Oryzias latipes: one gene and its partners. The protein of the gene in region 3 binds, or shares a complex with, the protein of the main gene of each other region. Links are inferred from orthologs where the notes say so. Each region holds a gene or a part of one and is shown on either strand. Other genes may lie near its edges. The genes, in order: ASNSD1 upstream open reading frame protein, ruvbl2 and pdrg1.

Region 1 (3,407 bases), on a different chromosome or scaffold from region 3:
TTTATTTCTTTGTTTTTTGAGTTTCTTTTCAGGCTGCTTTTTTGGCTCTTTTAGTTTAAAGGCCACATTAAGAAGGTCTATTGGTTGATGAACAGGTACATGTTTGTCTGCTAAGACAGCGAGGATCATTGAATCAATGCCTCCTGAAAAGAGTATAGCAATGCTAGCCTGGCCACTGCTAAGAGGTAAATTATCTTTTGCCACAAAAGGCAACGAATGAACTCGTCGCCTCACCGCCTCACTCAGGACACCAATTAGACGGTTCACAACTTCAGTTTTCTCCTTGCTGATTAGAAACTCCTCTAGATTTCCTCCAGACACCTGTGAACTGGGATTAACTTCAACCTTTTTTTCTGGAATGGACATATTCAAAGGACAAACAGGTGAAGTGATTGATAAACCTGCTCGATTTATCTCAAAATTGCACCCACTAGGGACAGAGTTAACCATCATTTCACTCAATGATGGGTTTATGACATTTCTTGCCCAGGGAAAAAGCTCAAAGGACACAGAACCACTCTGTGCAGCTGCCTTTACATCAACCTTAAACACGCCAACAGCTGGGACTTCTTTCCAATCAGACTGACCCAGCGCAGAAATCCCAGCTGCCACTGAGGTCAAAGTGAAGACACTGATCTCGGCGTCATATTTCCACAGCAAGCTGCGCCTTCCAAAAAGGTCTCTCCCAAACCAGAGATAATCTTCAGCCTTTTGATAGAAAACAAATGCCCAAGGCCCTTGAATGGCAGACAGAAGTGCCAGAACCTCCAAAGAGTTTTTACAAGATGACAATTTCTGACAGATGACAGTGGTGTCATTCTCTTCTGGCATCACAGAAATCCCTCCAAAAACCTCTCCATTCCACATCAAGACATTTCCAGCGTCGTCTTGAAACGGCTGAAGAGTAAGGAGGCCTCTCATATGGAGAACATGGGCAGAAAATGAGCAGTGATAGCTCAAATCTACAGCAGGAAACGATAGCTCCCTGCTAGAGTTGGGGCCCCTTCTCTTCAGAAATTCATAAATTCTTTTGTCCTTCTCAAATTGAGCAGCTGACAAAGTCAACTGGAAAAAGATTCCACACATTGTTGCAGCTCTAAATATCCTGCAGTTCTTTTTTCAAGTAATCCAGTTCCTCTGCAAGAATAAAAATAAAAAAAGTTTTAAAAAAAAAAAGGTGAGTTATATTGTAGTATGGTACAACATTGTAAAAATTTCAATGCAAGAGGATAAATGAATACTAACACATACTTCTGCTTGTAGACAATGTTTGACTTCTGTCAGCCAGGAAGAAAATGTTGCTGTTTCTCTGTTGGATGTAAACTTTCTGAAGAAAAGAAAAAAAAAATCAATAAAAAATGAATTTATTACGACGGATGGATGGATTTATGGATGGATGGATGTAAAAAGGTAATTACCGTACCCTGTTCTTCTTTAGGTTAGAGAGTTCATCCACAACGACCTTTTGCTCTTTGATCTGGAAATTAGCAACAAGTTAACGTTAACAACCCTATGATGATGAAGCCATCAGGAGATGTATCCCATCATGTTAAGTTTTAATTTAAAGATCAGCAGTCCTTCATTTTTCCAGCAAACATGAGAAAATCGAAACTTATTAAAACAGTAAATACATACTATTGGTGCGTAAATACTAACAAAAGTATTGCTATTCGTTTTTCCGTTCTACTATACATGCTGAAAAAGGTGAATAAACATATCCGTGTTGTTTAGCCAGCTAACAGTAGCGCGTCTTTGATATAAAGTTACCTTTTTACTGAGTTCCTCTTTATATGTGGTTTGCTCTTGGGAATTATCGCTGTTATTGTATTTTTTTGAAGACATTTTCATAAAGGAGCCACGAGGGAAAACTTTTTATCTAATTTTTCTCTTAACAGCGTCTACTTCTGCGACAAACATGTCCGGATATGCGTCATAACCGTTCCGGGTGAAGAAATAGGTGGGGAGTTCGAAGCACACTGCCGCCTAGAGGCCAGATTTGTAAAACACCCGCTACACATCTCAGGGTCCGGGGCCTGCCAAATTATAGGTAACCAAGGGGTAAACACAGATTGAATAAGAATGTCTTTAAATAACAGATTTGATGTAATTTACTTTCTTAAGACTAAAAAAATAGTATTGGGCTACTACAAAAAAGTTTTTTAAACGGAATTGGGTTAAAATTTAATCAGCTAAGCAAGTTCGAGACAGAAGAAGTTAGACTTTTCTGTTTCTACCCGGTTTTAATTTTCATTTAAAGTGACACTTCCATATAAGAAAAAAGCAACAAAAAGAAACACTGATTAAATAAAATCAATTAAGCATAAATTAAATAATGAATCCATTGCACATCTGATATGTTGATCATTTTTGATCAGTTTTCAAAACCACCTGAAGCTATTAAGTAGTCTTTAAAAACACCCAATTAACTGTCTGTGTCTTGTTCCTTTTTTTCTTTTCCTTTTTTTTCTGACATCAGAGCCTCTGAAAGCTGCACCTTTGTTAACCCTACCCTTTACTTTAACCCCAGAAACACTTCTTAAAATATTGCTTTTGGGGGGAAATACACCTCCAGCCAATTGTTGCTAGGCTGGAACAGTATCTCTAGTTAAAAAAGTATTTTTTCATTGTTTACTTGTAAAACTAAACTAAAGTAGTGGCTGAAGACAAACCAACCTGCCTTGTCTTAAGATAATTTAGCTTTTTTATATTTTAGTTATAATATGACATGCTTTCATCTGCTGATGTTGAATCATCAAATTAAAAATAACACATGCAAGTGCATTTTTTCGGGGACTAAAGCTTTTTGTTGACTTGATCTGTCTGTAGACGAACAGATGCTTAACCCCCTTTAAAAGCAGTTTCAACCTAACCCCCACCTCCCTGCTCAAAGATCACACAACCAAAAAAAAATGAATGTTGAAATACCTGCTGAACTCTGCAGCTTATTTCAACCTTGTCTTTGCCTTTTTTCTTTTGAAGTCTCTCAGCATTTAAATAGCTTTTGCATACCTCATAGTTGTTTTGTTTTTTTTACTCTTCAGTTTGAGTCAAAACTGTGCCATGAAGCTCCTAAGATGGAGAGAAAGCTAAAATAGTATTTTTCCTTATTTATGCTGCTGGTGATCTATTATTATTGAAAAAAATAAAGTTTGCAGTTGTTGGTAGAGATCAACAGATGACACGAATGTGATTGATTTTTCTTCAGCAGTGGGTCAAACACCTTTTCAGTGCAAACACAACTGTTTCTAGGCAAACACACCTGTGTAAAGTTCTACATTGGTCTTAAACTGAATTGATTTAAAACAGTTTTCAACTGTTGGCTATTTCTTGTAGCATTTTGGACACAGTGAGCATGTCAAAAAGTGACCTTTGGTATTTATTTTTCTTTGGTGGAGTTGGCAGGCTCA
Region 2 (3,753 bases), on a different chromosome or scaffold from region 3:
CATCCTTGTCTCTTTCATTTCAGTCTTGAAGAACCTGTCATTTTCAGCATCCATCTGTTTCCTGAATGAAACATTATGATCTGGAACCCTTCAGCCTTGAGGGTTGAATTTGATGATTTATGGAAAGGATATTAAGACCCCCTCTGTAGCACTTCAGAGGGGTCTGCTCCTTCGAGTTATTTCGTCTAAACATTTTCAACAATTTCTCTGAGGATAAAGAGATTATCCTCAGACTTGGCAAATAAAAAAGGGAGATGCAGTTTTTTTACAAGGTAAATAATAAGAAACAACACCCATTCCTACACTTCATACCTTATGTAGGGGTTGTTTACACTTACTCCCTCTAACTGAAATATCTCTACAAGCATCATTTAGTTTCATGTGGCTTCTGTCATCAATCCTATAACTTTGGTTTATTAGTAGATCTCTTACTATAACTTTGTCTATATGAGGATCCTTGCACAACATTAATCTTGCATCCTCTAGTGGAAAAATCTGTGCAGTGCTGCTGGGCTTTTCTTCAGACTAATCAGGTTTAGTCACATCCTCTGCAAACCAACAGGGTTTCTTTTGGGTCAAAATGGAAAGTTTTTGAAACCTCTTAGTTTCTCTGACCAGTTTTGGTTCAGGAGATCACCTATGGATTATATAAGTCATGATAAAGAGAGAAAATTACCATAAGGACTTCAAGCACACATTATAAAAGCAGTGCATATTAAGGGAGTACATGTTTTTTAATGCATGATCATATTTTTACATTTGTTGGGAAATAAATATATGAATATTTGTGATGTTTTAGGTTTAATTATCTTTTTTTCAAGGTAACAGCATGATAAGTTGTTTAAAATGTGACGTTTTCTTATGCATTTCTTTAAGTTTAAAGTATTTTTTTAAACTACAATTTTAGATTCCTTGGTTTTATTTTGTTCAGATGACTGCAATCCAGGTCTTAAATTATTAGCAACCTGAGTTTATTTTTCTTTCTAATCTTTAATCTGTATTTGAATGCTTAAAATTTCAGTTCTAATAGTTATAGGTATCAAAAATGCCAAAAACATTATTTGTTAGGTAGTAAATTTGACACACAGAAAGATAATTTCGAAGTATTTAAGTATTTTCAGGTTATCATTATCGTGACGATCAAGACAAAAACGTAGCTTTCATCTCAAAAACAAATCCGGGCTTTTACGCCAGATTTGTAATTCACATTTGAGTCTATAGAGGGCAGTCCCAATAAACTCTAGTAGCGGAACTGAACGGCTTCGCATGTTTCTTGTCGGACACATTTAACCAGTACTCCCTGAGAAAGAAGCGGCGCTTCTCACGTTTTTTAAGTGTGGCTGCGGAGGTGAGTCCTGAGTTTGTAGTAGATGTTAAAATCAATTTGGACTTTAATATTTTCACCCAAGTAGTATAGCCAATTTATTTTTAAGTACTTCCGCGTGTCATGCAGGCTTTTATTACCCGGCTAATATGGCGTGTGCTGTTGTTTTGCGTTATGAACGGTGTGAATGATGCTAGCTTGTTTGCTAATATCGTTAGCTGATGTTACCTGTCGATTTTCTCCCCCCGTATTCATATTAGAAAATAAACTAATTTCAGTGAAGTGTCAATTTTTCTAAACCTGATTTACTAATACTTTCCTTCCTAGATATGTTTCACAAATATGCGTATATATATTTTAAAATGTCAAAGAGTGTTGACTAAGCTTTGCTGTTGTGTTGTGTGTGGTCATTCATTGCTGTCACTATGACAACGGACAGGACAAGTGGAGCATAAAAGGAATTCCACATTTATATTGCTTTGACAAAGTCTATGTGGAAAACACTAAAACATTGGTGAATGGAGGATGCAAATTTTAACTCTCTTTGGAAACGATAAACATCCAAAAGTGTCATCGATATTTGAACACACACATAAGGAATTCTTGCTGTTCTTTTTCATAAGCAGGATTTTTAAACAAACAATAAAAAATGCTCTTAAGATTTAGTCAAAGATCAACGAAGGCCTAAACTCCTCTGAAAATATTTGTTCTTTTGTTTACGATGAGGCAAATTGTTTTAAAAATGTTTCTTTGCATTTTTTTGTTTTCTTCTTGTCATTGATGTATTATTCTACAGATGGCAACTACAAAAGTGCCAGAGGTTCGGGACATTACACGGATTGAAAGAATAGGTAAGACCCCATGCAGATTTTCAACACTTTAGAAATAAATGGTAAGCTTAAATTGAATGGTAAACTTTAGAACATGCCTTATCTCTACATGAGCTGTGTGTATTTATTTTTGCTATGATTTCCCGTATGTTTGTAATATTTTGTGTAATAGTTTCATCTTTGTGTGGTTAGGGGCCCACTCTCACATTCGGGGCCTTGGTTTGGACGATGCTTTGGAGCCCAGACAGGTAACGTGCAGCACTTCTGTTTGTTGATCTCTGTTTTGACCCAAGACTTCAGTAGTTTTAGGTGTTTGTAGTTTTGATAAAATTATGGCTTTTTTTTGTAATTCATGTCCTTTAAAAAGGCAAAAACTTAACAGAGGAAAACATATTTGGATATTTTTAAACTGCTGTTAAACTTGAGAGGTTAAAATGTTTCGAATGTACCTTTTAATGTTTTGTTGTGTGTGGAAACAACATGAAGCAGTATAGAGGTAGTCAAGTAGCAAAGCGAGACTTGATTCTAAAGCCCTGTTGTCAGCACTAAACCCACATGTTGTGATTCCAACAGGAAAGTCTTTTAGCAGCTTGTTTAAAGCATTCAAAATGTCCCTTAAGTCAAAGGATAAAATCCGAATGAGGCATATTTGCTGCTGAACGAGTTGAGTTCCCTGTTCACCTGCAGGTGTCACAGGGGATGGTCGGCCAGCTGGCCTCCCGTCGAGCAGCAGGGATAATCCTGGAGATGATCAAAGACGGACACATCGCCGGCAGGGCCGTTCTGATTGCTGGCCAGCCGGGCACGGGGAAGACGGCTATTGCTATGGGTGAGCATGGGACCAGAAATGATGCATACAAGTTTCCACCTGAGGCAAAGTTCTGTTGGCTATTTGAGGCTTGTTGCATGTTTTTCTTTCATCTACAGGTATTGCTCAGTCTTTGGGCCCTGACACCCCCTTTACAGCTCTGGCTGGAAGTGAGATCTTTTCCCTGGAAATGAGCAAAACTGAAGCACTGAGCCAAGCTTTTAGAAAAGCTATAGGAGTGAGAATCAAGTAAGTATATAAACAAGGTTTAGGTTGTTTTTTTTGGATAGAAATTAAGTCCGCTCTCTTCCCCCCCATAAATCCAGAGAGGAGACAGAAATCATTGAAGGGGAGGTGGTAGAAATCCAGATTGACAGACCCGCCACTGGAACAGTAAGATCCTTTCACTTCATAAACAGTCTTTCCATACCATAGCTTTAGAAAACGTTGATTTATTTAGCTGATTCGCCTCATGTTGAGCTGGTTTGCTTTAATCAGGGTGCAAAGGTGGGGAAGCTGACTCTGAAGACTACAGAGATGGAGACAATATATGACTTGGGGAACAAGATGATTGAAAGCCTCAGTAAAGAGAAAGTTCAAGCCGGGTGAGTTCATCTTCTCCTCATAAAGCAATATAAAGGTTTGGGTTTTGTTTTTTTCTCAGTCCTATCTAAATGGAGCTTTTCTTGTTTGTCTTTAAACACACTTTTTAGTGATGTTATTACCATTGACAAAGCCACCGGGAAAATCTCCAAGTTGGGGCGCTCCTTCACTAGAGCCAGAGACTACGA
Region 3 (3,753 bases):
TTAGATGTACTTGATAATAAATTCTTTTATTTCTTTTAAAAGATTATTTACACAAAAACTTCAGAGTCAGAGGAACATGGACATCCAAACATCTCCTTTAAAGAGAGTTTGGAAAGTGGACTTTGACCAGTCAGTACAGCCATCTTTAACTACTACAATTCTAGAAGATGTTTAATATAGATTCTGCTGCTGTCTACTAAAGGAAACAACTTTAAAACTGTAAATATAATAGATATGAACTTTATTAAAACAGTCCAGGAACCGGGTGCAAAAAAGGACATGTTTGTCATCTTTTGAACCTGCAGAAGTGTCCTGCACGAATCCCCGACAGTCCAACCGTCCAGCCAAGGTGCCTTTAATAAGCATGTTTAAATGATGTTTAAATGTGGCGCTGGAACTCAGGCCTGCAGCTTTGGCGCTTCATTCTCTCAGAAGTGACTCGAAACAGCCGGAGAATCAGGTCTTCAGGAGGCTGTTGATAGATTTGATCTCCTCAGAGGACAGTGCAGACAGTCTGTAGCCTCTGAGCTCCGGTTTACCTACAGAAATGAAGGGAATAGTTTTAGCTATTCAATAATAAAAGTTTAATTGATGAAACTTACTTTGACTTCTGAATGTTTGAATGAAGCGTCAGGGCATCTTTTCCACTAGTTGCTGTTGTTATGAGACAGTTTTACCCCTCCTGGTGCAAACATTTTACGGTACTTTATTTTAATTTGTTTGTATTTTACTAAAGAAAATGATAGCTCTAGAGACGCACTAATGATTAAAAAAAATGTTTGTAGTGACCTGGACACAGAGTAAAGGCTCCTGAACTGAGTGTCTAGAAGAGTGCATGTGCAGATCAGATCAGTCTGTAGGTGTGAGCAGGTGGAAAACATCTGTAGACTAACATTTCGCCTGCTTTTGAGTGTGCTGCCCCCTTGTGGCATTGGAACCTTACAGCAGCTCAGTCAGAGAAAATGCAAAGAAATCTGTAAACAAAGATATATTATGAGGTCTGCTGTTGTCTTGGTGTTTCCACTCTTAGCTTGCAGTATTTATTTGTGTCACCTTAGGACTCCGCAGTTACGCAACTGGCTTCAACCGGAACGACCGACAAGTACGTTGTGTAACTGAACTCTACAGAAACAGTGCAAAGCCCCAAATGAACGCTGTTAATTAATTTGTCTTGATATTTCACATTTTCACAAATGTCAGTTTAACATTTTGGAATTAGGAACCTATTTTAGCTTATTAACTTTTCTTGAGTTTTGTGAGTTTTCAACTTGTCAAAAGTAACATCCTCTGTTCCAAATGGCTACCAGTGTTTTACAGCACTTCTTTTCTTCCCAAAACCCCTTTATGTTCATCCAAAAGAGAAATGCAACACCTCTTCTCCTTCCAACAGGAGGGCAGGACCAGAGGGAGGAATCACGTTTCCCCTTCTGCTACACAGCCTGTAAAGCGTTTTATTAAAATTGTCAGCTTTAATTTTTCCTTTTTTGTTTTCTTATTTTGAAAGAGTTGCATACCTTGAATCTCATTGAGATGATTGAATTTAGTTTTCAGTTCTCTGCGAAGGTTATTTATTTCTTTATCCAGCTGTTCTTGGTCTGCAGCACAAAAGAAATACATTTTTATTTTTATGAATAAACACATAAAGCATGGAAGTGTGTTTTCTTTAAGGATTACCTTTCTGGACCATCCCTTTAGTTTTGGATTTGTCAAACTCAATAAACATGTTTCCAAAGCAAACCTTCACATTCTCTGCAAACAAAAACAAGAACATTAAGGCTGGAAAAGGCTGGGTTTGTTATTTAACAGCAGCACTTCTGACATATTTCATAAATGCAGCGATCAGGTTTTCCTTTCTTGCCTCTAAACATGACGGGACCCGGTCCTGCCTCACCTGAATCAGACAGCTCATGTTTGAGAGCGTTCAGCGCCTCCCTGTTCCGGTTTCTCTTCAAGTCCAGGTCCACTATCTGAAGAAAAGAAAAAAAAAAGAAAGACACATGAATTCATATTTACCTAATTTAGTATCCAATTTTTGGTTATTAAATGAAGAAAATGGGTCAAAGTAAGACCCTGGCTGGTGACAGCCAAAAAGAATATAAAGTGAACTAAACTAACAAAGACAGAGTGTCCATTTATGTCACAGATATTATGATCAAAATTTATAGTAGATTTTATGTTAAAAGAGAAATTGTCCGTGTTTGCTGCACTAGCTGCTAAAATATCCACTTGTAGTTTATAGAAAATTTCATTTGCAAATAAATTTCTTATAAAATCTTTAAAATGTCAAATAGAGCCAGATTGAAAGCAGAACTTTTGAATTTCTGTCTTTCTTCAAGAGTGGTATCAAGCTAATCTTTATCTAATTTCTTTTCAACTTTATTACGTTTAAGTAGAGGAAAACACTTCTTTTTTTGTTTACATCTCTGTGAGTGGAATTTCCCCAAACAGATCATCAATACAAAAAATATTTTGTTGGACACGCCATCTAATTCATAGTATAACATGACATAAAATATTATTTTAGGATATTTTTTACTCAATTTTGTGAACAGAAATTTCGATCCATCATGATCATCATCCAGGCAGCCCAACTTGAACTTCAGTATCACTTGTTTTTAAGCTAGTGAAGCGGTTCGGTGACCTCTTTGCTAGCTGAAGCTATCTATGTTAAACATGACTTTTGAAAAAAGAAACGATTTGCGGTTCGTCACAACATACCTGCTGTTTGGTTGTGATAACCTCCTCGGCTGCTTCTTCCACTTCTGTCAGGTAGTCCAGCACACGCTGCGAACCCGCATCCATGTTGGCGGTGTCGCATCTAAATATGTTCTACGAGAAACACAAGAGAAGGCGGAACGCTTCATCTTCTGCATTTTCTTGGCGGTAGGCAAACAGCTTGCTGGTCGTTACCGCCGCCAACTGGAGTGGAGTGTAAACCGGGATCTTTTCTTAACTTTCACGTTCTTACTTACATTCGAGTGGAATCTTCTCAAAAAATGAATTCAATCTTAATTTGCAAAAATTTCATAAATAAAAAAAAGCGCACATCGACCATTGCCTAAATTTACAGATACCTCAAACTTCATGTTCAACATTTCAAGGTTGTTTAAATTTGGATTTTTTTTTTTTAGTTTAAAAAAAATGTATTCATGTTTTAAAAACGTTCGAGTCTTACGTCTCAATCTAGTTATTGCTCTTTTCCTATCCTATGTTGTCCCGCTCTCATCATTTTCCCCTCTATTATTCCTTTGTTCCTTCTCCCAGTGTCTTCGTCATATTTCTTTCTCTCTTTGATTATGTTTTTATCTCTGCTTTGCTAAGACTGATCTTTAACTCAAAATCCTTTATTGGAAACTATTCAAGCACATTTAGTGGCTATTTCATCATCTTGTTTCTCTATATGAGCTGAACCCAGAAAATATCACAATGACCCGCATTGTTTTTAGTAACCCCCAATGTTTGCTGGAAATATCTGGTCTACTTTCTTATTTACAGTTTTTAATATTTGCTAATGATGAACTTAAGTCTGAACCATCTGAACATATAAGATTTCCCATTGGCCTATGACAAGCAGAATATTTCTGATGCCCATACAAACATTTGATTTCACTGCTTTTTTGGAAACTGAGGAGGCGAAATGAATAAACAGCTGTGTTTTATGCTGCGTATAGTATAAATGTTATCCAAATGTACATGAAAAGAGAGTTTACATTTTTTTGTCTCAGTATTTGCCCAAAGTAAAATTAAGTGGCT

Evidence for each region.
Region 1: pdrg1 (region 3) and ASNSD1 upstream open reading frame protein share a complex: the UniProt entries of both Homo sapiens proteins name them as parts of the PAQosome complex. The link is inferred for Oryzias latipes from reciprocal best matches to the Homo sapiens genes PDRG1 and ASDURF.
Region 2: pdrg1 (region 3) and ruvbl2 share a complex: the UniProt entries of both Homo sapiens proteins name them as parts of the PAQosome complex. The link is inferred for Oryzias latipes from reciprocal best matches to the Homo sapiens genes PDRG1 and RUVBL2.

What each region holds. Positions count from the first base shown.
Region 1 is NC_019879.2:16,672,189-16,675,595, reverse strand, and holds ASNSD1 upstream open reading frame protein, read right to left. Parts: upstream 1,928-3,407; 5' UTR 1,849-1,927; coding exon 1,768-1,848; intron 1,478-1,767; coding exon 1,424-1,477; intron 1,328-1,423; coding exon 1,252-1,327; intron 1,138-1,251; coding exon 1,097-1,137; 3' UTR 1,087-1,096; downstream 1-1,086. Other genes in the region: asnsd1 (asparagine synthetase domain-containing protein 1), read right to left, coding at 1-1,086.
Region 2 is NC_019872.2:21,691,117-21,694,869, reverse strand, and holds the start of ruvbl2 (ruvB-like 2), read left to right. Parts: upstream 1-1,238; 5' UTR 1,239-1,348; intron 1,349-2,120; coding exon 2,121-2,175; intron 2,176-2,346; coding exon 2,347-2,402; intron 2,403-2,841; coding exon 2,842-2,983; intron 2,984-3,081; coding exon 3,082-3,211; intron 3,212-3,288; coding exon 3,289-3,355; intron 3,356-3,460; coding exon 3,461-3,567; intron 3,568-3,675; coding exon 3,676-3,753. UniProt on the Homo sapiens protein: Possesses single-stranded DNA-stimulated ATPase and ATP-dependent DNA helicase (5' to 3') activity; hexamerization is thought to be critical for ATP hydrolysis and adjacent subunits in the ring-like structure contribute to the ATPase activity.
Region 3 is NC_019863.2:18,202,479-18,206,231, forward strand, and holds pdrg1 (p53 and DNA damage-regulated protein 1), read right to left. Parts: upstream 2,847-3,753; 5' UTR 2,803-2,846; coding exon 2,719-2,802; intron 1,968-2,718; coding exon 1,892-1,967; intron 1,750-1,891; coding exon 1,675-1,749; intron 1,596-1,674; coding exon 1,515-1,595; intron 1,440-1,514; coding exon of another isoform or gene 1,414-1,439; exon of another isoform or gene 1,373-1,413; intron 540-1,372; coding exon 457-539; 3' UTR 8-456; downstream 1-7. UniProt on the Homo sapiens protein: May play a role in chaperone-mediated protein folding.